Coturnix japonica: one gene and its partners. The protein of the gene in region 4 interacts with the protein of the main gene of each other region in a pairwise test. Links are inferred from orthologs where the notes say so. Each region holds a gene or a part of one and is shown on either strand. Other genes may lie near its edges.

Evidence for each region.
Region 1: the proteins of EGFR (region 4) and PIK3C2B interact in binary tests that used the Homo sapiens proteins (3 or more experiments, as listed by UniProt). The link is inferred for Coturnix japonica from reciprocal best matches to the Homo sapiens genes EGFR and PIK3C2B.
Region 2: the proteins of EGFR (region 4) and CAV2 interact in binary tests that used the Homo sapiens proteins (3 or more experiments, as listed by UniProt). The link is inferred for Coturnix japonica from reciprocal best matches to the Homo sapiens genes EGFR and CAV2.
Region 3: the proteins of EGFR (region 4) and AP2M1 interact in binary tests that used the Homo sapiens proteins (3 or more experiments, as listed by UniProt). The link is inferred for Coturnix japonica from reciprocal best matches to the Homo sapiens genes EGFR and AP2M1.
Region 5: the proteins of EGFR (region 4) and SH3GL2 interact in a protein complementation assay, tested with the Homo sapiens proteins (3 studies listed by BioGRID and IntAct, with this or other methods). The link is inferred for Coturnix japonica from reciprocal best matches to the Homo sapiens genes EGFR and SH3GL2.
Region 6: the proteins of EGFR (region 4) and ABL1 interact in binary tests that used the Homo sapiens proteins (3 or more experiments, as listed by UniProt). The link is inferred for Coturnix japonica from reciprocal best matches to the Homo sapiens genes EGFR and ABL1.
Region 7: the proteins of EGFR (region 4) and DOK1 interact in a protein complementation assay, tested with the Homo sapiens proteins (3 studies listed by BioGRID and IntAct, with this or other methods). The link is inferred for Coturnix japonica from reciprocal best matches to the Homo sapiens genes EGFR and DOK1.

Annotation. Positions count from the first base shown.
Region 1 is NC_029541.1:2,127,303-2,131,409, forward strand, and holds part of PIK3C2B (phosphatidylinositol 4-phosphate 3-kinase C2 domain-containing subunit beta), read right to left. Parts: exon of another isoform or gene 3,935-4,107; coding exon 3,788-3,934; exon of another isoform or gene 3,532-3,787; coding exon 3,498-3,531; intron 3,168-3,497; coding exon 2,972-3,167; intron 2,136-2,971; coding exon 2,013-2,135; exon of another isoform or gene 1,553-2,012; intron 1,343-1,552; coding exon 1,175-1,342; intron 1,027-1,174; coding exon 915-1,026; intron 842-914; coding exon 699-841; intron 172-698; coding exon 1-171. UniProt on the Homo sapiens protein: Phosphorylates PtdIns and PtdIns4P with a preference for PtdIns. Does not phosphorylate PtdIns(4,5)P2. May be involved in EGF and PDGF signaling cascades.
Region 2 is NC_029516.1:22,513,348-22,518,056, forward strand, and holds the start of CAV2 (caveolin-2), read right to left. Parts: upstream 3,021-4,709; 5' UTR 2,930-3,020; coding exon 2,783-2,929; intron 2,700-2,782; coding exon 2,512-2,699; intron 1-2,511. UniProt on the Homo sapiens protein: May act as a scaffolding protein within caveolar membranes. Interacts directly with G-protein alpha subunits and can functionally regulate their activity.
Region 3 is NC_029524.1:13,826,408-13,830,486, forward strand, and holds the start of AP2M1 (AP-2 complex subunit mu), read left to right. Parts: upstream 1-1,279; 5' UTR 1,280-1,407; intron 1,408-4,079.
Region 4 is NC_029517.1:73,822,911-73,826,961, reverse strand, and holds the start of EGFR (epidermal growth factor receptor), read right to left. Parts: upstream 2,801-4,051; 5' UTR 2,480-2,800; coding exon 2,362-2,479; intron 1-2,361. UniProt on the Homo sapiens protein: Receptor tyrosine kinase binding ligands of the EGF family and activating several signaling cascades to convert extracellular cues into appropriate cellular responses.
Region 5 is NC_029547.1:29,788,065-29,792,171, reverse strand, and holds part of SH3GL2 (endophilin-A1), read right to left. Parts: intron 2,773-4,107; coding exon 2,639-2,772; intron 1,392-2,638; coding exon 1,233-1,391; intron 1-1,232. UniProt on the Homo sapiens protein: Implicated in synaptic vesicle endocytosis. May recruit other proteins to membranes with high curvature. Required for BDNF-dependent dendrite outgrowth.
Region 6 is NC_029532.1:4,613,100-4,617,206, reverse strand, and holds part of ABL1 (tyrosine-protein kinase ABL1), read right to left. Parts: intron 3,762-4,107; coding exon 3,677-3,761; intron 3,313-3,676; coding exon 3,135-3,312; intron 854-3,134; coding exon 669-853; intron 1-668. UniProt on the Homo sapiens protein: Non-receptor tyrosine-protein kinase that plays a role in many key processes linked to cell growth and survival such as cytoskeleton remodeling in response to extracellular stimuli, cell motility and adhesion, receptor endocytosis, autophagy, DNA damage response and apoptosis.
Region 7 is NW_015439533.1:509,754-514,443, reverse strand, and holds the start of DOK1 (docking protein 1), read right to left. Parts: upstream 3,024-4,690; 5' UTR 2,956-3,023; coding exon 2,893-2,955; intron 2,613-2,892; coding exon 2,313-2,612; intron 1-2,312. UniProt on the Homo sapiens protein: DOK proteins are enzymatically inert adaptor or scaffolding proteins. They provide a docking platform for the assembly of multimolecular signaling complexes. DOK1 appears to be a negative regulator of the insulin signaling pathway.

The DNA of each region.
Region 1 (4,107 bases), on a different chromosome or scaffold from region 4:
AGGGCATCCTGGTGGCTCATGTAGGTCCACTGGCTCAGCAGGGCATAGATGTCAGGCAGACAGGCCCACTCCCAGCTGGGTGCACTGGCCAGCAGCATGGGCAGTGAGCCGGGTGCTTCGTGGCAGTAGTAGCGCTTCTCCCACAGCCGTTTGCGGTCTGCATCTGTCAACCTGCAGCAGCAAGCAATGAGGGATGACAAAGCCTGGGCACAGCGCACAGCTCCAACCCCACCATGCATGGATAAAACCCTCCACAGCCTTAAGAGAGATGGTGGATGGGGCTATGCCATGTTGCATGATGCTGGGTGCTCCCCTGGTCCCTGGGGCACCCATCATGTGCTGGCCTTGCACCAAGATGCTTGGCAGGCAGAATTAGCACCGTCAGTGGGTACTGGAGGAGTGTCTGTCAGTGGGGACACATCCACCACTGCTGTCATGCTCTGTGGATCCAGGCACGGCTGCTGACACCCAATCCTCCCTGTTTATAGCAGCAGCAGACGCCGGCCGGCTCAGCAGCACTGAGCATTGCAACTCCACCAAACCTCAAACTCATCCTCCAGCCCCAGCTGCCTCCCCAGACCAGCTGCTGGAGGAAGGATCAGGCCCCCAGATGCCCCCTGTGCATGCAAGCCAATGCTGGGCAGAGCTCAACTGAGACCCCTCAAGGAAGGATGGTGCTGATCCCCCCCATTGCTCACCAATAAAGCGATTTCTTCTGCATCGCCTCCCGCAGCCTGCGCTGATCCTCCTCACCCAGGCTGCCAAATTCGTACTTGGGGCTCACCTCGGCCGCCAGCGGGCTCACAAACTTCACGTCAAAGGCAGAGGTGGGGAAATCAATCTGGGACAAAGGATGGGTGAGTGAGTGAATGGGGGTTTGACACCCCTCCGGTGCCCCCACTGCTGACACCCACCTGCAGGATGACGCTGTCAGGCTGGTTGAAGTTGGGGGCACTCGATCTGGCTCTGGAGTTGTCCTGGGTCGCTGGCCACAAGCCCAAAAGCTTTCTCCCGCAGGTCAGGACCCTGGAGGAGAAAGGGGAATCTATTTGGGGGGCTGCTCCCCTGGGGTTGGGGTGACACCGCTGCAGCGATGCTGCATCCCCACACTGAGCCCTGGGGGACCCTCAGAGCCCACCCTGGGGTGCCCGTGGTGGTTGGACACCCTACGCACTGCCTGAAGTTGAAGAGCGGAGTGGTGACCCAGCCCAGGGCCTCAGGGACCCGCCGTTGCTTGTTGGTGTCAGAGGAGCTCCCCGGGGGAGGGACGGGCACGGCGAAGAGCGTGATGCTGAGCAGCGTCTCCCGCGGCAGTCGGTTCACCTGGACGGGGAAGCAGATCCTGCAAGAGAGCAGTCAGAGCCCCACGGCACGGATCAGCCCTGGCCCCTTACCTCGGAATGCCAACAGAGCTCAGCAAATGCCTTTGCTGCTGGCACTGGGGGTGCCACGTGCACACATACGTCATGGGCATACCCCCCCACGTTGGACAGGGCCGGCTGTTCCCATGCCTTTGCTATATCCAAGGTAGGTGATATGGGGGATACTGCACACTGACCTCGTCCCAGCTTCTCCCTGTCAGTGTGGGGGTCCTCAAGGAGCTCAGGGCATCCTGCCCACAGGGTGGGCATGGGATGGGTGGGACAGGCAGAGGGGATTGGTGCCACTGGACACACGTCCTTCAGGGGCACAGGCGCCTTCTAAAATTATCCCATTCCCATCCCCACCTCTTTGCAAATGCCAGGCATGGCGAGGGCTCAGCACAGCCTCCCTCCCTATCCCTATCCTTATCCTTATCCCAAGGCTATTTTGGGAGCAGATCCCCTTTCCCGGGTGCAAACAGGAGGTGGAGGACTGGCGCCAGGGGCAGGTGCTATTCCTGGGGATGACATAAGAGCTTCCATAACCCTAAAACTAGGGAGAGGCACAGAGAGGAGCTGCTGGAGGAGGTAGTACGGATGGGGACGGCACCGGGTACCCATGCCCACCCCACATCCAGGGTGCTGCCTTACTGCTGGTCCCATATGATGAGGTGGAAAAGGTACTTGTAGACGTGGGCTTTTCTGGTGTGCAGGGGGCTGCACAGCTCCTTACCACCGTGCGTGATGGAGCAAGAGAGGTAGAAATCTTCATAGCTGCAAGGGGAGCAAAAGAAATGTGAGTGGGGGGAGCAGCCACAGCTCTGAGGGTGCTTGGGGTTCACTTAACCAAAGGGGAAACCTCATAGCAGTGGAGCTGGGAGGAAGGGGGGTGCAAAAAGGATATGTTGGGTATGTTCCCATGGCTGGCCACATTCTAATGAAGCCCCTTCATAAGTGGCTCGTCCTCCCCAGCTTTGCACAAGGGGGGTGGATACGGAGCTAGCAGCCCCTGTCCTTCCCATCCCCATCACCATATGGCATCGCGCATACCATCACAAGGGGGGCTGCTGGGGGGGGGGGTCCTGCCATGTGGCAGGTGCCGAGCGACAATCCGGGGAGGGCTGCGGGGTGCTGGAGGTCAGGGGATGTCGGCATTTCCCAGGCTACGGGCTTTGTTCAGAGCCAGTCACCAGAGGGAATACATTAAAGACAGGACAAAGGCGAGGGGTCCCCGGCGGGGCGGCTGCAGCCGATGCTGCTGCCTCATACACCCTCCCCATGGTGGGCTCCTGGGCTGCCACTGTCTCCCCTGCATGGGGCTGAGAGTGGGCACGGGCACTGGGGCCATCTGTCACATCGCCAGGGAGGCTGTGAGCCCAGGAGTGATGCTGCAGCCTTGGGGATGTGTGGGGCTGGAGAAAGAGAGCAGCACAGAGCCTGTGCCATCCGCCTGCACCATGCAAGCACCGCTCAATGCACGCCGAACATGGGGCGCCCTGGGGTGGTTTAGCTTTTATGCTGAATATTGAGCAGCCTAGAGATGGAACTAACAGGTCTGTGCCCCAGATTATGCAGGTAGAGGCTGAGCAATGTCCACATGGCCACCCTACCTGGCAGCCCAAGTGATGGGGATGCGGTGAGTGGCGTAAACGGTGAAGGAGAGTGGGCAGGAAAGCAGGCGAGCCTCCTGCACCACGCCATGCTCCCGGCTCCATTGCACTGCTGTCTGGAAGTCAGCATTGAAGGTGCTGCAGTAAAGCCCCACCAGGTCCAGGATGGCAGCCGTCAGGCTCTCCACGATCCTCTCTGCAGGGGAAAAAGGAGAGGGGTGACACAGAGCTGTCTGAGACCTGCTGCCTTGCTGTGTCTTATAGGGCCTTAAAATGGGGCTGGGATGCTGGGGGGGGGGACCCTGAGCAGGGCTGTGCTCTGGGGCATGAGGTGGAAGTGCAGGAATTGCAGGCTTCCACTTAGCTGAGCTGATGGGGAAGAACAATAGGCATGGCCTCTTTTCTTTAAGAAGGGTTTCAAACCCATTTTCGGCCTTAATAATTGAGGAGGAGGAGGGGTTTGAAGATTAAAAGCACCAAGAAGTTCAATCCAGAAGGGGAGGAGGAGGAGGAGAATTTGAAATACCTCGATTTTCCCTCTTGGCCAGAACATTTGGATCCTGCAGAGGAAAATAAAGAAAAGAAACCACAAGAGCAATATCAGCATGAGCCCTGAGCGTCGCTGCGGCCGGGAGAGGCTCTCCAAGCCAACAGCTTTACGTAAGCAGCCGGGGTGAGCACCAAGGTCCTGGCCCTTCAGCTGCTGCCTGCTCCCAGCTATTGAGGAATTTTCCACGTGGTGTAAAGGAAAGGAGTGAATGGGATCAGCCTGCAATTGGGCTTTCTCTCTGCACCCACCCCTTTCTCAGCTCTTACCTTCTGGATTTTGGGCTGCATGCGGGACGGGCAAGGGGGCATCTGGTTGAGGGCTGTTGTTATTTCCTGTGACTCAACGGCAGCCAGGGCATTGCAGATGGCCATGACCGACTGGATCACCCGCTCTGCCTTCAGTGGGAAGTCTCCCTGTGGGGCAGAGGGAGGCTGAGAAGGGCTCAGAGACAAGGCAAAGCGGAGCCCAGGACCTTTGGGGAGGCTGCAGCAACAGGGCACGGGGCAGGGAGCAACATCTGCACCCTCCTGTGTGTAAGTAAATACCAAGAAGAGGAATAAATGCTGCCCTCAGTCTTCACAGCAGC
Region 2 (4,709 bases), on a different chromosome or scaffold from region 4:
CAACCACAGAGATCATGATTTTGCATGGCCATCCAGCAATGCTCTGCTCATATTAAAAAATCAATAATCTTAGCAGCCTCAGTCTAGGGACAAGTTTAAAAGGTTGCTCAGATATTCACAGATAGTTGTTAAAGTTGGCCTTACAACTGAGTGTATCGACTGCAGTTAAAATGACAGCCATCACTAAGAGAGAAGCAGCTTTCCTTGAAGTAGCTTGTATGTAGGTCTTGCTGGCTACCACAGCTTCAGTATCTTTTGCCAGGCAGCGTAAACCTGGATTTTAGCTCAAGCAAAATGAGAACAGAATCAAATTATTCATTTTTAATAGGTCGCAATGAAAACTGAAGTTTTCTTTTTGCTTTCCACAGGTCTCATGTGTTCACCTCCCTTATTAGTGCTCTTCTTTTTTTCTGGTGAAAGACAACATTCACTTCAAGACACAATGGGCGCAAGTCATGGAGTGTCCTTGGAGCATGAGGAATGCTGTCAGACTTCAGTGAATTTTTACCATGTTGACAAAACTGCAACATGTGTGTGACAACCATGAGAGCTTTGTTCCCTGGGACTTCCAAGCGTTGTTGAAACAGTTTCTAATTTATTCTTAGGAAAGGCTCCCCTGCAACTGATCAGCATCAGCATCTCAGTGGTTTGGATGTTGCCAACAAGGCACAGACTCTGATAAGCTCTCCTGTAGACAGCCATGTGGGAGGGAGTGCCCAGAGCTTTCCCATGATGTTTAAACAGCTGAAGACAGAATTATAATGGAATTCCCATCCCTGCAACCACAAAACAAGGAGGAGATATTTTTACAAACCCAACAGGCTTAGATGGGAGCCAGTGTATAGGGTCTCTTTGATGCCTCTGGTATCAGTTGCTCCTGCACTATCCTCCCAAACACACAGACATTGAATTCCTTAATCCCAAGAAATCTGGAACACTGGGAGCTGCAGAAATAAGTCAGTATAACCACAGTGTGTGCAAACATTGCATTGGAACAAATCCAGGCTGTGTTTGTGGGATGACCAGACTGTGCTGTGCCACCAACTGCAGCACTGGGTAGGGTCCAAAGGGACGCAGACAGCACTCCTGTGCTATGTGATTCCCATCCAGGTTCAAGACCAAAATGAAGGATCAACTCCATCCTGACAGTGAACTCAGGAATCGAAAATGAGCTGCTGAGGAGACAAGTAAGTGTGTCTGCAGAAAGTCAAGGGAAACTTCTCAAAATCAAGTGCCACATTCTCTCAGTTCTATTTCAGATGTACTGGGAACCACAGTTCCTGACAGAGTCACTGGGGACTACTTGCACAAATAGAAATGACCCCTGAGTCCTGTTCAGTGGAACTCGTGTCCACATATCCAGCCTGTGAAATTCAGATAGAAGATCATCCTGCAGCATTAAATGATATCATTGTGAACAAATTGATCATCAATGAACTCTTCCAGACATTTCACTATAGGAAATCTAGATGTTCACCATATCCTATTGCAGTTCTAGTACAGTAAAGCACAGAGACCACTGGCTGATATGAAAGTCTAGGCCCACTATAAAATGCCCATAGTAATTTGAGGCCCAACAAAGTAGCAGCTCTAAATTATATAGCAGCTTCCTACTGCAAACTCTGCATGCTCCAGAACTTAAGTTAGTCAGGTTCTGAAGCAGCTCATAACAATGCCATCAACCCAAATTTCCATTCTCCTTCTGAAAACTGAAATCTGCAACCAAAAAATCAGGGGTTCAAATAACCAATGTATTTATATCAACTTTGTTTCCCAGTTTCTGGATGGCATTTTGTTTTCCTTACTGACCTCTTCATGATACCAATATTATTCATGGCAAATAAAGCTTAGGTAAAAACTTATGTATACGGAAAATCCAGGTTTGCAAGAATTACACTGATGATACACATTCATGCTTCCTTCTGCAGCATGACAGACTCTCCTTCCTCTGCATCATTCTTTTCCCTGCCTCTCTTCCTTCTCCATCAGCTGCCTCTCTGGGCTTGCAATACTTCACCAGTAGTTTCTGTGTAAGGTACACCAGCTTTGCTGCTGTATTTGTGAACCATGGCCGTGGCTTTCAGGAGCTCAGGTGGGGTTCTCTGCCCTGCACCTGCAGACGGCCGTGCACCTGATGTGAGCCACTGACAGCTGACTTTGTGACAGTAGCATAAAAAGACTGCGCTGGACCCCCTGAAACCTTCCAATTAACGCACACGTGTTTTAACAACGTCTGTACTCTGCTTTACAAAAACAAGCCATCCATAGCCGAGCAAGGTGCCCCACAAACATCAACGCTCTGCCCCTGGGAGCACACCCAGCCAGGAAAGCTGCTAAGATCAGAGTGTGGACTTGAACTACGGACAAAGCGCAGGTTTAATTCCTCTCCCGTTAGCAGCCCGGCAGGCAGAACACGCCGAGCTGCCCGCAGGTCCTCACGGCGGCCATGGGGGCACTGATGCGGCAGAGCAGAACCCCCCGCCCCCCGGCCCGGGCCGCTCACACACTCACCAGATGTGCAGGCAGCTGAGCACCGCGAAGACGATCCCCAGCACCAGGGCCAGCGGGACGGCGAGCAGCAGGCTCAGCAGCTTGTACAGCACGTACTTGCTGAGCTCGAACAGAGCGTGGCTGCAGATCCACACCTTGTCGAAGGAGTGGGTGAGCTCGGGCTCGGCGATCACGTCCTCGAAGCCCAGCTGGAAGAGCGAGCAGCCCCGACGGCCGTCAGCCGCCGCCCGGACCCGGCCCCGCCGCCTCCCCCCACCGCCCCGCCCGGCACCTGGAGGTGGGCGTTCATCCCGCGGGGGTCCCGCTCCAGCGCGTCCTCCGCGCACTTCTCCGCTTCGGACAGCTCGGGGCCGCCCGGAGGGAAGTTGTCGTCGTCCATGAAGATGCGGGTGTCCGCCTTCTCCGTCTCCAGCCCCATGGCGCTGCCCGGCGCTGCCCGGCTCCCGCCCTGCCCCGTCCGCCGCCCCCGGCACCGCGGCCTTGCCGGGCTGGGGCGGAGCGGCGCGGGGAGGCCCGGCCACGCCCCGCAGGGCCGCACCGAGTCGTGTCTGCTGCCCGCAAGCAGCCCGGGGTGAACGGGACAGGAGCAGCGCACCACGGCTGCCGTGCCCAGCGTGCATCTGTAACTTGTCATAAACTTAGCATTCCTCAAACCGCCTGACTGTCCCACAGAAAGTCACGCATCCATCATGACAAGCTGTTGTTGTGTCCTGTCAGGGGGTTGGCTGACAGTTTACATGGTTTAAGACTAAGAGTGCCCTATAAAAGCAAGCAGATTCCTGTAAGGGCTGCTGGAGGCACTGACAGTGCTGATGTATGCACTGAGCTCAGGGGCGCCCCTAGTAGCAGGTAGCCACAGTAGCCACAGTAGCCACAGTAGCCACAGTCTCTCAAGTGTCATTGCTAATCAATGATCAAGACTTCTTGAATTAAAACAAATCCAGCGCTGTTAATTTTCTTTATTACTCACCGCTGCATTAAATTAGGAACGGCCTTAAGCTGAGAGGAGCGCACAGGAAAGTGATACAAAAATAACCGCAAGGTTTGGGTAGGAAATCACCTAACACAATGCCCTGCACTGTGCTGCATTGTTCTGGACCGGATAACTTCTGAAGAAGTGCTTCACAACTCTGCGTAACTCCCGGTGATGCTTTTTTTCTCCCCTGCTGATGAGTTTGGAGATCCTGGTGTCACGTAAAGGGTTTATATCCAGCAGTCTGGATGTGGCTCCTTAGCTTTAAAGGCTCACAGCGGTTGACAATTGGTTTAAATACAAGCAAAGAAACAGAGTGATGACTCAGGATATACTTTTGAGCTTCATTTCTAGCTCTCAGTTCCTCTTTTTTTCTCTTCAGTGAGTGGGAGGAACAAAAAGACCAGCTGACAGGCTTGAGGTTCAGATACCCTTCAGGATCCTTCTGTCCACCAATTACTTTTCTAACTTCTGGGTATGGGAGCTGCTGCTCCAGCCTTACTACAGCCTGAGGGCAGTCACTGGGCTTCTGGTGGCTGCTTGTGTTGGATATGGTGCTGCTGAAAAGCGAGGTGGGGGCAACCAGCAGAGGGTCCCAAGGTAACCCTTTGGCTACTGAAGTCAGCGTGTCCTCCTTAATGTCAAGGACTGTTGCCTTCTTCCTTACCAGACAAATAGACTGGTGTGCTTGTTCTGCTCCTGAACACGTCTGCCCTGTTCCCACCCCCTCCTGTGATTCACTCCACCAACCTGCTGGAACAGTGAGCCTATAGCTCCACATGCTGAGGAAATAAACTGTACCTCCATTTTCGAAGCATTCCACATTTTGCTGCTCTATTTCTTAACAAAAAAAGAATGGGTTAAGTCAGTTACATTTAGCCTCTAACCAGTGCGTAATTTTATTGCAAAATGTCAAGTCAGTTCAACCTTTGTTTTATAAGGATGTTCCTGTTTAAACTTTGAACATGACTTTGATTATTGTAGTGTTTTATATACAAATAGAGACTATCTTTCCTGAACATGGCAAGGATGTCAGTTATATGGCTTCTGGCAAAAGCCTACACAGTTATACTTTGCATTTCAGAAAGTTCTCCAGTCTTTGCAACAAGACCCTGAATAACGTCCGGTTGGATCTTAGGAAGTCTGTTCTGCTTGTCTGGTTGAGTTCAGTTTTCAGCCTGCTTTCTGCCTCTTTCCTTTTTCTCTCCCCTTTTAAAAGCATGTA
Region 3 (4,079 bases), on a different chromosome or scaffold from region 4:
TTACATGAATTTTAAATCCCTTTGTAGTTGCCTTTCAGCCAATGTCTGAATGTTCCAGGGCTTCACTGCCTGTGGGGAATGGGGAGATGGTGCCCTTTGCCTCCCCTTCTTGCCCCGGCCTTAGGGAAGAGCACTCCTTCCCCCTGCCCTGTCCTTGGCACTGGGGCCATGCCCCCTGCCTTACTTCCTATGGGACTTGTAGAATTCAGGGCTATGGGGTGAGTGCTCACTTGGCCCAAAGAAGCCTAGAGAGGGCCTCTGCCCTGCTCTTTGCCCCCGTCACTTGCAAGGGCAGTCCTTGGGGCAGCTGTGGCTCTGCCATTGCAACACCACACAGCAGTGGGACCTTTTTGAGAGCTGAGAATGCAGCCAGTGAGTGAGGGAAGGCACACTATGGGGGAACACAGTGTTTGTGTGCAGAGAGGGGCAGCACTGACCTTACCCTGCTCCATTCCCTGTGTGCGATGCTTGGGAGGGACGTGAGCTTTGTGGGCAGTGCTTGCAGCTCCTCTGGGCTCACACAGAGCTGTGGGTCACTTGCTCCAGCCCTCCTCATCCTTTTTCCTCCTCTCACGGCCGCTCAGAGCTGCTCCTCTCCACTCCTGCTGGGCCGTGGGGAGGAGATGTGGGTCCATGCTCCCTTAGCGCCCTCCTGTTGTCTCCTTCACTCTTTCTGTTTGTGGTTCTCTTACACTCTGGAGATAAAATGTGTTTCACTCCTGAGCTCTGTATTATACCCTCCAGCCTGCCCCATGTGCCCTCCCCGCTTGCTCACACCTCTTTCCATGCACATGGGGCTCAGTGTGGTGGCACTGCCCAACTGCCCCCTGTAACCCCTGGTCCCTCTCACTGCCTCTCCTCACCCTGCCCTACTCACTGGATTTTACAAAAACAGAACCATTCTCCTTGTTTTTATTTATAAACATAGTTTTATTGGACTCCTGCCTCGCGTTTTGTTTTGGACCATTCTGCTTCCCACTCCCTGCCACATCCCGCTGTGTAGGGGTGCTGGCTGTTCTCCATTGGGATATACAATGTGTGTGCCCATGCATGGTGTCAGCCTCATATATGCCCATAAATGCCCATACTGTGCAGTGGGGACCAGCGGGGCCGTGCAGGGTGAGGGCGGCCTCCCCTTACAGCCCCATATTGAGGCCTAGCTGCTCTGTGCCGTCCCCCACGAACTACAACTCCCAGCGCGTCCGCGCCTCAGGACTACATCTCCCAGCATGCACCGCGCGGATCAGTCCTTCCCGCCTCCACGCTTGACGCATGCGCAGTGCCAGCGGGGCGCGGGCAGCGCATGCGCGGCGGCGGCTCTGCAGTGCTAGGGGGGGCGCTGAGGGACGGGGGGGCGGCAGCCGCCATCTTGGGCGCTGGGCGGCGAGCGGCGGCGGGCGGCGGCAGGTGAGGCGGCGTGCTGCCATGGGGCCGAGCGGCCTGGTTTGGCTCCCTGTGGGGCTGTGGGGCTCTATCTGTGTTGGGCTGGGTGACCGGCCGGGGTTCGGCGGGCAGCGGCCGTTCCCTCAACGCTCGGGGCCGGGGGTCCGCGGGCCTCCTCGGTGCGGCTGTGACAGCGCCGGGCCGCCTCCCCTCAGCGCTCGGGGCTCGGCCGCAGTTCACGGGGCGGCGGGGCTGCGCGGCAGGACTGTGCTCGGCCCCGGGGGATGGATGGGATGGATGGGATGGATGGGATGGATGGATGGATGGATGGATGGGATGCGACCGGCTCTAAACCCGCCGGGCTCGGGCGTTTCTTGGAGCGGTGGGGTCGGAGCGGCGGCCCTGGGGGGTCGGGTGGGCTCGGTGCGGCACACGGAGCCTGGGGAACGGCCCCGGCTACGTGCCGGGTCAGCCCGAACAAAGGTCCTTTAATCGGATCAGCGGGAACTTCCCCGGGAATCATTCAGCCGATGGGACGGGGCTTCGCTCGGCCGTGGCTTGTCACCTCCAGCTTCCTCTATGGAAAAGCTGCTGGGCGCAGAGCGCCTCTGGTGATGCTGTGCTGAAGCGTAAAGAGGGCCTCTATCCAGCAGCGCCTATGGATGCGGTTCCTCTTCCTTCCTTCCTCGGGCTGGGCTTTGGATCCTGCAGAGCTGCAGGAAAAGCTGCCTTGTTTGTCGCCCTGTGCAGCTGATCGCTGGCCCCACCGGGAAATGACTCCCCGTCAGCTGTGTGATCTCTGTTTTCTCCTCACTTCAGGATGACAAAGCTGCCCTGAGTTTTTAGCCTAAGGCTTTCGGAATCTGAGCCTGGAACGTTCCCAGATAAGCACATCTGAGTGGCTTCAGTAGCTCAGAGCTCTGGTTGTGTTGGATTTGTATCCACATTTAGGCTTATGCGGGTACATAAGTTGTTGGGCACCATTAATGTGAATGCAGCGCTGCAGTTACTGCTTTTTTTTGCCTTATAGTAAAAATTAGACTTGTCCCAGTGAGTTGCTTGCAGGGACAACCTCCAGCCTGATGAGATGCATCCCAGCTGCCTGCTGCCATATTTTCCTTGTCAGAGCGGGGGCATCGTTCATCTTCTGCGGGCAGAGCCATGTTACTGACATCTAGTGACAGAGATACCCGGCGTCCTTTGGGCTGTATTTTCTTCCATATGATGTGATGTCTCCATAGGATATTATGGCCGGCTTCTCCCCTTCTCTCGAGACAGCACATTCCTGGTCTTTGAAGAGCTGAGTCTTGAGGGTACAAAGGGTCATATCTGCAGCTTTTTGAAGCAGAGATAGAGGATTCTTTCTGGGCTATCTCAGGGTTTGTGTGTGTCTTTTTGTTTGCTTCACGTGACCCTGGTTAAACTTTTCTTGGCCTCTTGGTGCAGAGGTGAGATGAAGCTAATCTAGTGCAGCACAGTGTCTTGCATCAGTTTCCTGAGCTTGTACAGCTGAAGGCTGTGAATATGCTCTAAGCTGGAGGGCTGTGTGGTGCTTTAATAACGAGGCCTGTCGTGTTTCCCTGTGTCAGGGTTTCTCTCATCCTCTATAAGCTGATGGCGTGCAGCACGGCACGCAGAGGCTGTAGGAGGGGAGCCTGCTTAGTGTTCAACGTGCTTCTCTTCCTGCCCACTGCTTGTGGGGATTTGTGGGATTGGGTTTAAAATTGGAACGCTTCCTCTGACACCGATGGGCTTATCTCGGGAGCTCTTTAGCTCACATTATGTGTCTTAATTAAATTACACGGCCTGTGTTCCCCAGGATTGCGGCTACTCTTCTTTAAAACCAGGTGTGGCCCGTGGCCTCCTGGACAGTGGCTAATGCAGCGCTATAAGCAAAGCTTAGGTGCTCAGATTAGCTGCTGCGTGATGACATTCGAGGTAAGCCTTAAGCCTGTCGGTTTGATAACAGCTAGTGCTAGCTTGAAAAGACTAGTTTCTTAAATAGCTTGTTTGCCAGAGCAGCCTGACTAATCCGCCTCCTGCTTCTACTGCTGTCATTTGTCCAAGATCACAGTGACTGCTGGAATGCACAAACCGTTACAGTTGGTTTGCCCTTGGTCCTGGGAGAGCTGCAGCACCTCTCCTGGCTTCTTCCTGGATGAGAGCTCCAGCAGCTAATGTACCTCAAACTGCTTAGCTGGATAAGCTCGCTAATGCACAGAAGTCTTACTTACTGTTAAGTCTGAACCCAAACTTTCTTTTAATAGACTGCTAAATGGGTTGGTGCTCTGTGCCAGCTTATCGACTGACTTGTGGCTGCTGCTTCCAAGATGGACTCTGTACGTAATAAACGCTCTTCTTTTCATTCAAGGTGATATCAGGGCTGCAAGGAAATTCCAGGAAGGTGTTTTTCTTCTGGTGTGGATGCTGCACTTAGTGCATTGTGTCTGTGCTCCCAGGTCAGCCACATGCTGCACCTCAGAATTGAAGCTGCTGACAGCCTGGCATCAGGACACTGCTTTGCTGAGCTGCGTTCCAAGTGCGTGGCACAATGTAGGTGTGAAAGGGCAAAGTCTGGCTTTTAAAGGAACACCCGGCATTAGAGCTGTCATGCATTCAAACACACATCCCAGCAGTTTGTTTTTGTACACGATCCTTTTTGTAGCAGACTTTTAAGATGGTGACTTTGCTACCAA
Region 4 (4,051 bases):
AGCCAGTACACTGCCCAGTGGGTTAGAGTGCACAGTCCTTTACTCCATTCCACAATGGCTGCAACTACAGATCAAAACTAGATATATAGAGCCAAAAAAGCAACAAGAAATGGTTTGACTAAATGCAATGTCACTAAGCAATGAGAAACAAAATGGACATCAGTCAAATGCATGCTGCAGGAAGTGGCATGCCTGCTGTCAAAGGCACCTAACAGGCCATCCAGCAACTATCAGTGTAAATCCAGATTACTTCCTCTGCTGTTAATCTGGATCAACATTAAAGATGGTGGATTGAGAGAGAGGGAGGTATTGATCCCTGTGACAGTTCAATTTCTAACAATGCTGTTTGGTGCTGCATTAAGCACAGCTACTGGGTTTGTTTGGTTTGTTTTTCATTTTCATGACTGCAGTCATTCAAATAAAAAAGTTTCGTCTCATCCAAATTTGAAAAGATTGTTCTAAACTTCTGGTAAAATATACAGGTGAATTTTAATTTCCATTCAACTATTACATTGCCCATTATAGTTTGATTCTGACATTCTTGTAACAAAAAAGATTTGCCAAGGTAATTTGGGGGGGATAATACAAACTAAAATATTAAGAAGCATAAATGCATTTACTATTTGTACTTCTAGAAGCAACAGAATTTTATCATAAAACATGAGTGTTGCAATGTTTATGGCAGCATATTTGCTTTCAGAACTGTTATAAATTCAGATGCCATGGGGTCCCAAGGAAGTGGGTCTTCACTCATTATTTTATGATTCCCAAATGCCACTTTATTCTGTACCCACCTTTATTTCCTCTCTCATCTTCAAATGCGGAGAAAAACAGATAAAGCTCAAATAATTGATTCATGCTTCTTGAAGAAGTTATTCTGCCTTCCCTCTTCTGTCCCCGGTCCTCCTCACAGGAATGGTTACTCACTAACACAATGCTGACAATGATGCCCATTGGGTTTATCATGTAGCTGTTTTTTATTTAACAATCCTCAAATAAACAGCACCTTCATAATTTTATGAGACACCAGATTAAGCACTTTAAAGAAGGCAACAACATATATACCCTCACATTTTACAGATTCTGCTGGGCATGTGCATCAGGGTGTTCCATTTCAAAGGACTTAAATGCAGCAGACGGAGTCAGCTCTGCTCCCCGTCACTTTCAGTGGATGAGGGGAGACAAGAAAAGAAAAAGATCAGAAACCCAGGAAAGAAGAGCTGCCTACGTTACATCAGCAACAGGTATGAACTTGATTTCTGGAACAAGGGAGCCTCTTCAATGCTTTGAGGTTGTGTAACTAGTTCCTCAGAACAGGCAGCTGCTGCTCCCTTTCAGGACAGTTTTACTGTTCTCAGTTACAAAAACATAGGTTCAGCTGTTTTCAGCTGCAAGCCAGCTCTTCAAAACACTACTAATTCTTTTTTCCCTCTTTTTCTGTAGAAAGAAAACACAACAACAGATCTGCATTTTTTCCCTTGCTGGCAGATCTCCAAGATAAAGAGAACTGTACTCTGCCTGGAACAGCACTCGGGGCCTATTCACAGAAATGATCACCACACATGGAGAAAAAGCGACGGAACTCTCCCAACAAAAACGTTCTCTCACTCCTTAAACCAGTTTTTCAAAAACGTATAAAAAACAAAGCTCCAGAAGCCAACCAGACAGCCTCGCGGGCCGTCCCGCGCCGTTCCCACGCACGGCTGCCGGGCGCTCTCAGCGAGGGTGACAGCGGAGGCATCGGGCCGGGCAGAGAGAAAGAGAGAGAGAGCGAGCACGACCGGAGAACCAGAATCCGCATGAAGTTTCCCGTCCTCCCCGACACACCCTTCTCAGGTGTGTGCACACGTATATGCATGCATTCATCTTTTTGAAGCGGAATGAGCTGAGGTGCCCGGCCCGAGGCGGCGGGACGGCTGAGGCTGCCCTGCGTGTCCCTGCCGTGCTCGGTGCCACCTCCCCGGTGTCGGTAGCAGAGCGGTACTGGGCCGGCGGCCACCATGGGGTGAACCCGGGCAGTGAGGGCGCTCGGGGCGCCGCGGAAAGAGCACGGGGGCGGAGTGGAGGAGAGAGCAGAAAATAAAAGCCTCGGGAGGGGACAAGCACAAGCGATGAGACTCTCAAAGGTTTATTCCCTTTTATTTCCTCCGCCCCCACAAAAGAAAATAAGCTTAGAATCAGGAAGTCATGAGCTGCGCGACTGCTCTGTAGGTCTGTTTTTCCATCTTTCTCTCAGTAGTTTTTTATTTTTTACTTTTTCCCCCCTTTCTTCTAAGGGACGAAGCCAAGACTTTCCCTCCGACTCTCCCCGCAGTACCAAGGGGCACACCCTGTAGCCCCAGCACCCGTACCACCCGTTACCTTTCTTCTCCTCCACGGCGGAACAGAGTGCGACGCGCCCCAGCAGCAGCAGCACCAGGAGAGCGGCCCCGCGGGGCTTGGCGGCGGACAGGGGGTTGAGAACGCCCATGGTGTGCATCGAACGCGACGGGCAAACGGAGCTCCCCGACGAGCTGCTCCTCACTTTGCGCTACTCTGCTCTGCGTTCTACTCCGCTCAGCTCCTGGCTGCCACTCTGCCTCCGAGCAACATGCTGGAGGGCAGCCGTCGAGGGTTGCACGCACACGTTCCTACCCAGCTGCAGAAGGACTGCTGCCTTCTTCCTCCTCCTCTCCTTTCCTACTCCCTCCTCTCCTTCTGTCGCAGGGGCTGCGGAACGGATGGGGCCGGCCAAGGGACTACTCTGCCCAGCTGCGCTCTCCGACCGGCCACGGAGCGCAGGGGCTCCCTCTGGGGACGCCGAGGGGGAGGAGGATGGGGCGGGAGCAAGAAGCGGGGGGAGGAGGAACCAGCGGCGCCTTCCCCGCCCAGGTAGGAATGGAACCGCCTCTACCTGTCCCAGGACAGAAGGAAGCAGCTGTGGGGGAGGGAACAGCTTGGCCTATTCCCCCGCTAGGTTTATGCGAGTGTTGAGGGTATCCCGTTGTCCGCTTCCCGCTGTTTGTTTGCTCGGTAGCTGCCGAAGGCATAAGCAGGCGTTTGCGTCGCCGCTTGTGAAAAGCCCTGTGGCCTTCAGCTCCCCATCCATGTCCCTCCCGTGGGACGCTCTGCAGCAGAAACCCATCCCGTCCCATTATATACAACCCTCGTTTCTGCTGCCTCGGCATCAACAGAGCCCGTGAACAGCCCCATTCCCGTGTGGTCATTTTGGCCACAAAGTCAATAGGATATGAACTACTATGATTTATTGGGAACTCCAGAACTGAATCTCACAATGAAAGGGGCTTGGGAGGTAACACACTAAATGCCTATGCCTATCCCCATGTGCTGATAGCAACACATGGGGATATCATAGATACATTACGTAGACAGTAAAACAGCTGCTGGGTGTATTCTGCCTTACATCAGTGATTCATGCCTTCTGAGAGATTCTTTGATAGTTATTTATATTGATTTATATTGATTCACTGATTTTATACTACCCATCAGATTCCTCTGCACATTTTTTTCCCTGATAGTTTAACAAGTTACTGTGCTAATTAGGCAAAGAAAAGTGAAACACCATTTACTTACATTAGCACAAGTTAGATGCTCCAACACATACCATATCGTGCCTCTAATTGTTTATTTTTAAGATGAGCCTTTGGATGCTGTAACTGGTATGCTCTTTTCCTTATACACTGTAAATAATACACAATAAATACGTCAAAGTAAACTCAGAAATAAGTAACATCCATACAGCACTGCTCCTCTGATTGTTTCTGTTCCTTTAACAGAGGCAGAATCTGATCCTGCAACAAAATATCCATTTAATTCAGTTTGCTTCAATGCTGTTTACACAGTGCAACCACAAAAACATTATGTGCATATAACACATTTTCATTTATTTTGACAAATATGAAGGTTTTAAAAAATGAGAAGCCCAGGAAAAAATCAGCTTTTAGAGAGGGGAGATTTGCAAAGTAATTTCAATGTACACTAATGGTTGCAGCTTGCATTATGAGAGAGGAAGAGCAATAAAGACACCAAGGAAATTAACCTCAAATCAGTT
Region 5 (4,107 bases), on a different chromosome or scaffold from region 4:
ATTTTTCAGGTTTTTTTTTTGAAGCTAGCAACAATGCTATGCTTGTGCTGAGGATCTAACAGCTTGTGGGCAGGCTCCTGAGTCAGCAAGGGTGGAGCTAGCACATTAGCAGCACAGTTTAAACACCTACCCTTAGCCTTCACACCTGATAATAGGGTTTAACTAGCTTCAGGGAAGGCAGAAGTTAGCCCTCATAGAGCACACCTGGTGAGTAACCACTGTTGCTGCCCACTAAAAATGGGGAGGTTCAATGAGTAAGCACAGCCTACATTGATAACATGGTGCTGCAGCTATGGAGGGAGGGTAAAGTGGTGAGAATCTTTCCTCTTGGCAGTCTTTGAGACTGCAGGCCTAAATGTGGTCTCCACCAGACAGTGGGTTTATTCCAAGAAGACCATGGTGTCCAAGACTGGGGGGGGGGCAATCATTTACTTATACTGAAATATTGAAATTGAGATTCAGTTAACCAGATATCCTGCGCAACAAACTTCAGCTATAATGTTTGTTTGTTTTGTTTTTTTTCTCTCCAGAAGAGGTAGACGTTACATTACTTACAAAGAGAGAATTTAAAAACCCGATACATGTAAAATCCTAAACCAGTTTCTAAGCAAAAATTGAAAAAAAAAAAAAAAAAAAAAAATTTAAAAAAAAAAAAAAAAAAAAAAAAAAAGAAATTTAAAAAAAAAAAAAGAAAAAAAGAAAGCTTCAGAGTCAGGATTCCACAGTCATATTAACTCTGGCTTTCCTAATTGTTATTGCATATGATGAGGGCAGAGATCATGAGGGTTGTGCATTTATCATCTCTGATCTTTACAAGTCTTCTCAGCAGCATACATATTTGAACAAAAGCCTCAGATGTAACTCCATAACTACAGCTAAGTAAAAACCATTATTTACATTTATGTCATTCTAAGAAGGAAAACACTTTGTCTTTCTAAATAATACTGTTTAATTAGGAAGCACAATGGTGTTATAGGGGATTTATCTTCTTTATCACTTATCTATCAAATACCTATTAAATTAGTCTTGCATGTGCGTACTGTATGCTAATATAGCTTCTGAACCTCTCACTGAGTGTAATGAAGTAGGAAGTGCTTTCTCATTTTCAGGTTATTGGAATCTATGGCATCACAGAATTAGAAGATTTAGACAGCTTTAAATTGCCTTCATTGCTGAACCAGCACACTTCCATTCTAAGATTTAGGTCAGAGCATAAACAAGAGGTATCTCACATCCATCTCCAGAAGGTTGAACATGCTTGACTCAGCAATTTCTTTTGATTCATCAAATTTCTCCAGAGCTTGGCGAAGCTCTTCATCAGGGAGCTTGCCCTGTCTTTTCTTCTTGTAATCAAAATCCAGACGTCGACCTTCCATTTTCTTTAGGTGATGCTGAAAAACAAAAATACAAAAGAATAAATAAGAATAAAAAGTGTTTCCCAACTTCCCTTGCTTTTCTCTACCAGGGGCTCTCTGTAATTTAACTGATACACCATGCAAGTTTACAAATATGTGCTGTTTGCTGTACGTCATCCTTTCCTGAGACAGGAAAAGCAGAACAATGAGCTGGTTTTACATCTCTTGAAAGATGCACTGGTGTCCAAATGTGAAAGCTGTTCAGCACTAAAACAGGCCACATACAATGAATAAATACTGTTGATGCTTTAATTAAAGATATGAGAGTTTCTGACATATAACTGCCTTTGGTTTGTGAAACACTTTCATGTGCAAAACAACGTGGAATACACTTTTAATCACTTTCATCAGATCATCAAAGTATCTTAATGCTATCTTTTATTGAAAATTTTCTGATTTAGTAATTGACAGATCACTCTTGACATTCTATTTAGCAGTTGCCATGCGATGCTGGCCAAAAAGTAATGTTGCTAGCCAGAATACTTGTCTTTACTAGTTTAAAAAAAAAACAATTTGTCATCTATTACGATTAACTTTATCAATTTTGTAAATTGTATCAGACTGCCTAAGACATTTTTGTTCTTTCTATATTTAACCATGTGAAAGAATTGTTGATCTCAGAATAGTTATTTATACAGATAAACATTTGCTGAATTAGGAAGCACTTGTACATTCACCGTTATAATATTAGCCTGTGTACATACAAGAATTTGTCCAATGAGATTTTTCTGTGAATAGATTCCAGGTGATCCTTGGACTATGAACCACACAATTTATGCATTTGTGCTCCAAATTCCTGGGAATATTTTGGGCACAATTTTTACACAGACGAAAGAGTTGTGCAAGTCTAGAGGCAACTATCAAAATACATCTGCTTATTTATACACTAGAAAACTGAATGCAAACATCTCTTCATCTAATTACGTGACTTACATGAAACATATTTTCAGATGGTATAATTACAGTACTGTGTTAATGCCTACCAAGGTTATGCTATTCTCAAAAAATTACAGTTTTGGTCTTTCTGATTCTAAAAAAAGGGACAGATGTGAAAAATAATATTCAAAGAAAAAGGGATTAAGTCAGATCATTTGTGAATCTAAGAGTTCTTTTTAAAGTACACAAATAACAGATTTCATATATATGCACACAGAGTAAATATACAAATACATATATATATTTGTAAAGTTGGCATTATGAAAATGCCGCATTGTAGGCAGTACCTGTATTTCTCTCAGATCTTTGTCATGGAGATTCTGAAGTGGGTCAATGAAGTTTTGTTTAACTTCCATGTCTAAAGAGTCTTTGACCTCAGAGAGCTCTTTCATTGCTTCTCCCACATCTGCAAGTGCTGGTCCTGAAAAAAGACATCCACTTTATCTTAAAATAACTTGGTTCCCATGCACAAAACTGACTCATGGATACAGTTAGCATTCCATTTTCACCTTCAAGTGAGTATGATGCACCATGTGAAAGGGTAACAAGTATTTTACACTTGTACAGCCCCCAGAACTTATGCTTTGTGACACAGCTGATCTTGAAAACTCGTGTTGCATATAGTCAGACTGCCTCCACACAAATCTCTTTGTGCATTCATTCGTTGCTGTATTGAAGGAAGTTTTTGAAAATAATCATCTTTATTTTCTCCAGTATGGTCTCAACATTAGGTTTCATATAGAAGTAGTATTAACACAAGTCAAAATCTTCCTATTTGTATCAGTTAAAATGTTGTCAATTTCAAATGTGAAAATAGCTGACCACTGTTTTCTTTGTATTTGATGAAAGATTAATTTGATGAAACTCTCAAGTTCATACACTTAGAAAAGTTCATAAAAGTCAGTAAGAATTAGCAGTCTGAGGTCCACAAAAATTACCGTTCTGGTTTATTTCCTCTAAAAGAAAATAAAATAAAAGCAAGATAAGATAAAAATATACTCTCCTGATTTGAGATGTAAGTTGGTGGAAGAAAGTCTACTTTCAAAGAATACTAAGGGACTGAAAACTTAAAAATGCAAGGAATCAGGAAGAGCTTTGTTTCCCAAGCAGGGGATGGATGCCAGGGATGCTCAGCAAAACTAAAGAGCCTGCCAGATTTGGATGAAGAGTGACAAACATTTATAATATAAGTGATTGGTTAAGAAAGTAAAAATAATTCCTATATCTATTTTTCTGCGTGCTATTGTAATCATTGGAGAATGTAGAGCAATTTGCAGAAACTAAATTCTATTAGTTTTTCATTTTTCCCTTTAAGGATGTATTTGAAAATTAGCAAGTAAGAGGCAACCAATTAAAACAAAACAATTAAGTATCTTTAGTACAAGTAAGTCTACATCTGCCAAGACAGCCAGCTCCTAGTCAACAAGCAAGAAAGTGCCTTTTCTATTGTAGATGTTTTTAAGCTGGAAACAACTTACTATGAAGATTCAAATAGGAAATAATAGAATTTTCAGGATCCTCTCTGAGTGTTATTAAATGAAAATAGCAAGAGAGAAGCCTGCAAAATTATGACAGAGTGATAAGGGAACCAGCTGGAAATGTTACCTCTTCTACTTTGACCCCTACTGTGGATGAACACAATATAAAATCTTGGTATAACATGTCTCACTCAGGCAGCCGTAAACTCATTTGAAGCTTGTGGAAGGGCTTTGCAGATAATTGGTAACTAGTGCCTTAATATATATTAAGATATAAT
Region 6 (4,107 bases), on a different chromosome or scaffold from region 4:
CAATAGCTATGGAAGAGATATAAAACCCAAAGAAAGGCCGATAAAAAAAGAAGTAGAATGAGATTTTTCTGCAGTCAGATTTCATAGAATTTAGCTCCATTTAGCTAAGCCCAGTCTTATCACCAGCACCTCAGGGCTCTTCAATAACCATTTGTCATCAAATTTTCTCTCTGTTTCTGCTCATCTCATTCCAAAGATTATTCTTTTAAAATGCAGAAAGACGAGCTCGGAGCTATCACCAGACAGACAGATACACACATAATTTTTTAACATAAAATGAACCAGATCCTCACTTTTCTCCTTAAAGTAGTTTGAAAGTTCCTGGCGATAAAGCAATATATTGCTTCACAGTTCTGTGCCAGAGCTCCATCAAGTCAGCAGCACGGCTGCCCTCCAGCCCCATTTCATACAACTCTATAAACACCACAGTGTCCTTTGTTTTCATACTTGTCAATGACTCAAACACGTAAAGCCAGGTCTGCAGCCTCACTTCTCCACTCCAAGACCGACTTGGCAGAGATTAATTCCTGCACTCTGATACAACACAGCTCAGAGCAGGGAGCATTGCTCTCTCCTGAAACATTTCACAGCATCCTCATTTCACAGCCCTGGAAACGAAGGTTGTAAAAGACCATAATCTGAATTAATTTGTTCATGCAAATTCTTACCCCAGACATCAGACTTAATGGAGAACTTGTTGTAGGCCAGGCTCTCTGGTGCCGTCCATTTGATGGGGAATTTGGCCCCAGCGTGGGCAGTGTACGTGTCACCTGTCATCAACCTGCTCAGGCCAAAGTCTGCCACCTTCACCAAGTGGTTCTCCCCTACCAGGCAGTTTCTGGCAGCGAGGTCCCTAAAAACAAGAACAAAACCAAGCAATGAGAAGTCTGTCCTCTCACTTCTAGCAAGAGAGAGGAAATTTGCTGTTCCCAAAGAAGCCTGGGCCTGCACGTGATTATTCTGATCAGGGTATTACACAGAAATTATGCAGCTCTGCACACACATGGAAGAGGGAAAGTTATTTTCCATTCCGGCTTTGTAAGACTGTCAGCCCAACTTCTTTTTTTTTTTTTTTTTAAATGCAAAATGAAAGCTCCAAGAACCCCCTCACTTTCAATAAAAGCTGCCACCCTCAGGATAAAAATAATGTAAAGAAATGTCAGTGCTCAAGTTATCAATAGCTGAGGATGAGCGCTGAATTAAAGACGTCGCAGTGCCTCCCCTTCTTGCCCACCTTTCTAACACCTCCATCAACCCAATCACCACCGTTCACCCTTCAGAACTCCTCTCCCAGTCCCTGCTCAGAGGCAGCTTTAACTCCCAGCTGTGCCCTCCTCCCTCCCAAGTATCACATATCTTACAGCACCATGTTTTCTACCACCCTCCCCCCTAAAAAAGTCATTGGTGACCATACAGACGACTCAATGACAGCACCCACAAAAGCAGCAACCCCAGCTGCCTAGTGAGGAGGCAGAACAAAGCCTGTGTGGGCAGCTGCAGGACAGCAGTTTCTTCTTACCCTTTCAGCCCTACTCTTCAAACACGAGAGGTTTTGCCCTTCTCAAACTACCCCGGCCTCTGTTATCAGTACTTCTGTTTTCAGTAGACTGGATGATCAGCAGACTGAGCTTTTCCTCTGTTTTTTCACCTTGGCAGGTGAGAGATGCACACGTTGCATTTACCACCCCCCCGGCTCAAACATGCTGCCAGCACCCTCAGCACTGCATAGAAATGTAAAGCACAGAAATACATTTCTCCTAATACCAGGTTTCATTAAAAGCACTTTTTCAGATTATGTTACATTGAACTAAAAATTGATTCTACCAGAAAAGGTGAGATCTTCTTTAGATAGGAGGCAGACTCTGCTGTTTCTTTTGCTTGTTCTGCTCAATGGGAATAAATTAAGGGGGGGAAAAAGTACACCTTACTAGATGCCCATTATATTTTCACAATGTTTTTGAATGTATCTCCTTATCAATTCTGATTACTACAATGTATGTCTAAATAAAAGCTCCTCTTCATAATCAAATTCCTCCTCCTTCCTGATTCATTAAATGAGGTCACAGCCCAGCATTTGAATCTACGGATGTGAATGGTGACAACACTCTTAAAATAATTGGGTAGGTGGGTGTGGGGGTGGCTGATAAGGAAAAACGCTACTATTTATTTTAGATAAATGGGTCATCAGAAATAAGATGAATTGAAACGAACGGGAGAGCAGACGAACGGGATTCATACAAGGCAGATTTTAAAGCTCACTTCCTACAGGCAGAAGGGATGGAATACTTTCAACAGAGCAATTCAAAGGGTGGAAATTTTAATTGCAGCATCACCGTTTGCTTCAATGACTGACAGAAGCATTTAAACAGCTCTTTCAGGCAGCAAAAAGCAAGGCATGTCTGAGGAACACCTAGAACTTTACACGCGATCTTCATATTTCCCTCTATAAAAAAACATGTGCTAATTCTATATTCTAGCTAATTGGGCAGGAAAGGTCACACTGTGGCACAGAGAACATCTTGTATTGAACTCAGCAGCTCTCATCCCTCGCACAGGATGTGTCATTATATTGCTAGGAGGTCGCTCCTACAGACAAAGAATGCAAAGCTCTGGTCATAATTGCAGCACACTTAAAGGTCAGAGTCTTTGGGACTTTAAGGTTGCAAAGATACTTATTAAAGTCAAATAATCTGGACAATGGTGGACAATAATCTCTGCAGAGGAGGAAAAGTGTGAGATAAACAAGAATGGACACAGGGTGAGACGGCACTAAGAGGGTGGCTTTGCTGTGAGCACCCAGCAGTGTCACCCATCTGCAGCAGCCTTTAATGGCTGTTGAAATCAACAAAGAGGCCTATGTGAGCCACTAAGAACCTGTTACTTGAGGAAGCATTTATATTTAAAGCGTTTGATCAAACTGTAAAAGCACTGATACATCTTTAACCTACATCTGCTTCAAAAAAGGGAAAAAAATGGAGGAAAACCATTAGAAGACCATCCTATAAACAGGTCAACATACTGCATCAGAATACAGTAGATAGGGGCTGCAGCTGAAGGGAAGGCCACGACAACCTCAAAATACATCAGGTGGTGTTTTGTGCTTGAGATTCAGGAGCACTCGGTGCCCTTCGTACCTGTGGATGAAGTTTTTCTTCTCCAGGTACTCCATGGCTGAAGAGATCTGGGTTGCCATGTACAGCAGCACCACTGCATTGACCTCCTGCCTGTTGCACTCACGTAGATAATCCAGCAGATTCCCATATGTCATGAACTCCGTAATGATGTAGAAAGGAGGTTCCCGTGTGCACACCCCTATGGACCAAGATAAAGTTTCCTATGAACATTTGAGAGTATCAGTGACTCTTCCAGGCTGTCATCCCAGGCAACATATATCTCTAATGGCTGCAAAGAGGGGGGATTGTACAGAGAATGAGTTTTGCTTGGAACTGGTTAATAGAGGATTTTAATTTCCTGCTTCAGGCTCTGGCAACTTAAAACGTTAGGGAGACGAGATCATTAAAAATCATGTATTACCGGTACAAATTGTGAATTCTGCCAGACAATAAGTGCCTGTATTTAAAGCCTTGGTATGGTAAGCAGCTTATCTGCTCCTTAACATCCATATCACTGCACAAGGGTTTAGTTCAAATCCCCCTGCTTGGTATTTATCACTTACCTAATAATTGCACCAAGTTCGGATGCTTGATCTCCTTCATTACTGCAGCTTCTTTCAAGAACTCTTCCACCTCCATGGTATCCTCCTGCAGAACAATAGCAAAGCTTTGGCAAGGACAGCGTGCACAGAGGAGGGCACAAAAAGAACTGCAAAGTGACAGCACCAGCCACAGTTCTTTCAAGGCAGTTTTTCCCTGTAGCCACATCACAAAGCCAGGGAGTGAGGAACGTTTTTTGTTTTGTTGGGGCTTTTTCTTGTAGGGTTTTTAAAAACACATTTTTATCTTTCTTATTGTAAGGGAGCTTTTTTTGGGGGGTGAGAAAATCCATATCCCTTTTGTGAAGGGCCTCTCACAGGACCACTCAGGAGTTGAAAAGGAAAAAGCTCAGAGCGCCTGTTCCTAACAAGAAAAAAGAAACCCCACACGAAAT
Region 7 (4,690 bases), on a different chromosome or scaffold from region 4:
GCACTTCTACTTTTAGCATATGCAGAACTGAAAGTGCAACGCAAACACTCTGCCAGGGGCCACATCTCCACTGCAGAGTCCCCCGTGGACCAGTGTGGCAGACGCACCCTCAGTGCCCCCAGGGACCCTCCTCTGGAGCAGCCCCATGTAAACCAGGGGCCCACTGATGTTGGCAACAGCCCTTCAGTGGATTTTGTGCTCCCGCAGGAGGGTCTGAGCTCAGACCAAGCAGGAAACTTTCCCAGGGTCACGTGGCCGGGGTTGCAGCACATCTTGCAGAAGGCAAGCTGCTGCAGTTTCAGTTTAAAACTAGTCACATGAGCTCCCCTGTGAGAAGTAAGGCCCAAACAAGGCCAACAGATTCTCTCTGGCTTCTAAACAGGATGCGCTGCTAAAACCCAAAGTCCAAGAGCTGACAGCAGCATCTTCTGCCCTCCTGAAGTATCCAATGGAGCAGAGCTCAACCTGGGAGCAGGCAGCCAAGAATGCCCAGGGGCTTTGTTGGACTGCACCTTCCCTCATGCTCAAAAGAAAAAGAATCAGAACAGTTTGGGTTGGAAGGGACCTTTAAGATCCTCTAGTTCCAACCCCCCGCTATAGGCAGGGTCACCTTCCACTGGGCCAGGTTGCTCACAGCCCCATCCAGCCTGGCCTGCAATGCCTCCAGGGAGGGGACGTTCACAACCTCAATGGGCAACCTGTTCCTGTACCTCACCACCCCCACAGGACAGAATTTCTTTCTATTACCTAGTCTAAATCTACCCTCTTTAAGTTTAAAGCCATTTCCCCTCGTCCTGTCACTATATGCCCTTTCAATAACTCACTCTCCAGCTTTCCTGTAGGCTCCTTCAGGTCCTGGAAGGCCACTATCTGGTCTTCTCTGAGCCTCCTCTTCTCCAGGCTGAAAAGCCACGGCTCCCTCATGCTGCCCCTGCTGGGGAGGTGCTCCAGCCCTCTGATCATCTCTGTGACCCTCCTCTGGACCTGCTCCAACAGCTCCATGTCCTTTTTGTGTTGGAGGCCCCAGAACTGGACACAGTACTCCAGGTGGGGTCTCACAAGAGCAGAGTAGAGGGGCAGAATCATCTCCCTCAACCTGCTGGTTGTGATTCTCTTGATGCAACCCAGGATCAAATGATCTCTGTGGGCCATTCCCAAGCTGCTTACCTCCTGGACCACAGTTAACACAACACAAAATCTCACTCTCCAAGCAGATGAGCAGAAATTGCAACCAAGCACCTTCACCTTCTTGCATAGATCACATGCAGCAGCTCCTACACCTTGTGCTCCAGGGCAGGCCTTCAGTACAGCCCCTTGATCTCACAGCACTGTCAAACTCATCCTTAAGCTGCTGACCAGCTTCTGGACCCCAAGTTTGCAACTGGCAGCTACCAGGTGAACCAAGGTGTTAGCACAGCACTGCTCCAAGGAAGCACTCATCACTGCCCCCACCATAATGAAGGTGGGTGGTGGGCTCCCAGCTGAGCACCAGGAACCCTGCCTAGGACAAAGGCTGCAATACAGTCTGCATGACACAGGGCCACAGACATGGAAAGACTCCCGGTGCCACCAGTGCCTCTGAGCTGGGCCAGTCACTGATGGCTGCAGGGAGGTCCTACAGGGAAGCCCAGCCCTGCATCCATAGCCTGAGTCTGGAAGCACTGCCCAGCAGTGACCAATTCTCCCACCCCAAAATGAGTACAGGGCACATGTGGGATCAGACAGGCAGGGACCTGTCATAGAGCCATGCAAACACCAACACATACAGGCCACCACTGCCCTGTGATCTGCCTTCTCAAGGATGCAATAGGCAGCTGATAGCCAGCCCTGGGGAGGGGCTGGGAAGGGCTGGGAAGCTGGAAGCCATGGGCCAGCACTGATGCTGGCACTGGACAGTGACCCCTAGGCTCGGTGAGGGGCTGCTCTGTCCCCAGAGCTGCTGGTGCTTCCCAGGAGCCTGACGGGTCCCAGAGCTGGAAACTGCACCACTCAGTGTTGAGCTTCTGCCTCTGCAGGAAAGGCAAAGAGCTGGGACCGACGGGGACACACCTCCAGCCCTCAGCAGGTCTGAGGGGCTGAGCAGGGCTCCGTGCAGCAGCGCAGCGGATGTCCCGGAGCGCGGGGCACAGGCAGGAGCCCCTGGGGACGTTGTGCTGAGCAGCCGGGCGGCCCCACGAGTCCAACCCGGGCGGCTGCCGAGGCCGGAGCCGCTTCGCGGGGCAGCCCCTGAACGGCCGCGGTGCCTCGGGACGGTTCGTCGGGGCCGCGACACCGACACACGAGATGCCGCCCCCGCCCCCCGCCCCGCTCACCGGGAAGGCGATCTCGCACAGCTTGGCCACCCACTCGTCGCTCTGCTGCCGCTCGGCCGCCAGGAGGTAACTGCGCCCGCTGGTCTCCAGGCGGAAGGCGGCCGTGCCGGCCCGGGGGCCGCTCTCGGCGGGCGCGGGGCTGACGCTGGTGCAGTCCGCCAGGCGAACCACCGTCTTGTCCAGGCGCCGCGTCCCCAACCGCCCGGCCGGACCCGCCGGCTCTTTGCAATCGAAGAACTCCAGGCGGGCGACGCCGTGCTGGCTGGCCGGGAACAGCGCGAACCAGCCCCGCTTCCACCGCTGCAAGGCACCGAGTCAGCGCGGGGCCTCCCGGTCCCGTCCCGTCCCGTCCCGTCCCGTCCCGTCCCGTCCCGTCCCGGAGCACGGCCGCCCCCGCCCTCCCTCCCTCCCTCCCTCCCTCCCTCCCTCCCATTGCGGCCGCCCGAGCGGAGCAATCTGCGGCCCCCATCGCTCGGCAGCGCTGCGCTCGGCTCGGCTCGATGCGACCCACGGCCCGGAGACCGACGGAGACCGACCGACCGACCGACCCCGTCCCGCCCCGTGCCCCCTCGGCGCGCACCTTGGTGCCGAACTTGTTGCTGTGCTGCACGAACAGCGGCCCCTCCTTGGCCGGCGGCTCCATCCCGCTCCGCGCTCCCCGCGCTTCCGCCGCCGCTCCGGGCTCAGGGCGGGGCGGGGCGGGGCGAGCACGTGAGGGAACGCGCGGGAGGGGCCGAGAGCAGCAATGAGCAGCAATGAGCAGCAATGAGCAGCAATGAGCAGCAATGTGCGTGGGCGGCGTGTGCGTGGGTCTGTGTGTGTGTGTGTGTGTGTGTGTGAGTGTGCGTATGTGTATATGTGTGTATGTGCGTGTGTATGTATGTGTATATGTGTGTGTGCATGCGTGTGTGCGTAGATCACCGCGCCCGGCAGAGCCAGGAGAGCAGCCCCGCAGTGCTTTGGCTTTGCATCGGATCATACAGTCTGGATACTGGACACACTGCATCCACACTTGGGAAAGAAAAGGGACAGAAGGGCACTGCCCGGGGCACTGTCCTTCACCCCTCACTGGGCTCCACGCAGCCTGACATCCCCAGCGGTTGGTGGCACCGGGATATGGCTGCTGGTGCAGGATGGAGGTTGGGCACCCGGCACTGCCTGAGCTGGGCCTGGCCACTGCAGCCCACCCAACCTGGAGCCCAGCCTGTCCCCGCAGCACAACCCAGCACAGCTTTGTGCAGGAGGTGAGCAATCATGGCCTGTGCCCAGCCAGCCCCAGGAGGGGCTGCTTGCTCAAGTAACCCCGCCTGGCAGCACTCAGCTGGCTTTCCTGCAGTATAATTGTCTGCCCTGGTGCAGCTTTTATCGATGAGCACGATTCTGGTTATGAGCAGCATCGTGTCTGCCCCACCCAGGGACTGAATCTTCACATGCTTTGAGTGCTCCTTGCATTGTGCAGCTGCCTGCGTGTCACTGAGCTCTGAGCACACTCTGCTGGCCCACGGTGCACTCTGACTGTCGGGCTGCAGCCGGTCAGTTGCTCGCAGGCTCCTCACTCCCCACACGCCCAGACAGCATCACCTGGCCTCCCTGCACTGCCTGAACCTGCAAGGGGGAAAGGAGGATGCCGCAGATCCTGGCTGTTGGCCTCTGACACCCATTTCTTCTATGCCAACCCATGCAGGCTGGTTAGATGGAAACGCTACAGGTAGTGAGAGCTGCTGGGAGGGCCCTCAGCAGCGCCCGTGTGCAGGAGGCCACCAACGCTTCATCCTCCTGCATGAATGGGCCACAGTAACAAAGCCACGTGTGTTCTTCCCACCTTATGAAGTCGTGCGACTCAGGCTGCAGGACACAGATCTGCCTCACAATTAGCCCGATAAACAGGAAAAGCAGCCAGCAATGGAGCAGAGCGGCACCGCGATGACGAACACGAGGCTGTGTGCACACAGGTACCGATGTTGTGCAGCTGCACGACGGGGAAGTTCTGACGTGGCAGCACTTCTGCAAACCAGAACCGGAGCGGGACGGAGCGTCACGAGCCGAACGTGCGTCAGCAGCTCAGAGCAGCGGGACAACGGCCCGAGGTCTGCGGGCAGGTGAGTCACGGGCGAGGCACGACAGTCCGACCTCCGCGGATGTGGGGCGGGGGAGGCACCGCAGCCCGAACCGCACGAGGGGAGCGGGGCGGAGCGGCACGGAACGGCACGGAGCGGCACGGAGTAACACGGAACGGCACGGAACGGCACGGAGCGGCACGGAGTAACACGGAACGGCACGGAACGGCACGGAGCGGCATGGAAAGGCACGGAACGGCACGGAGTAACACGGAGCGGCACGGAACGGCACGGAGCGGCACGGAGCGGCATGGAGCGGCA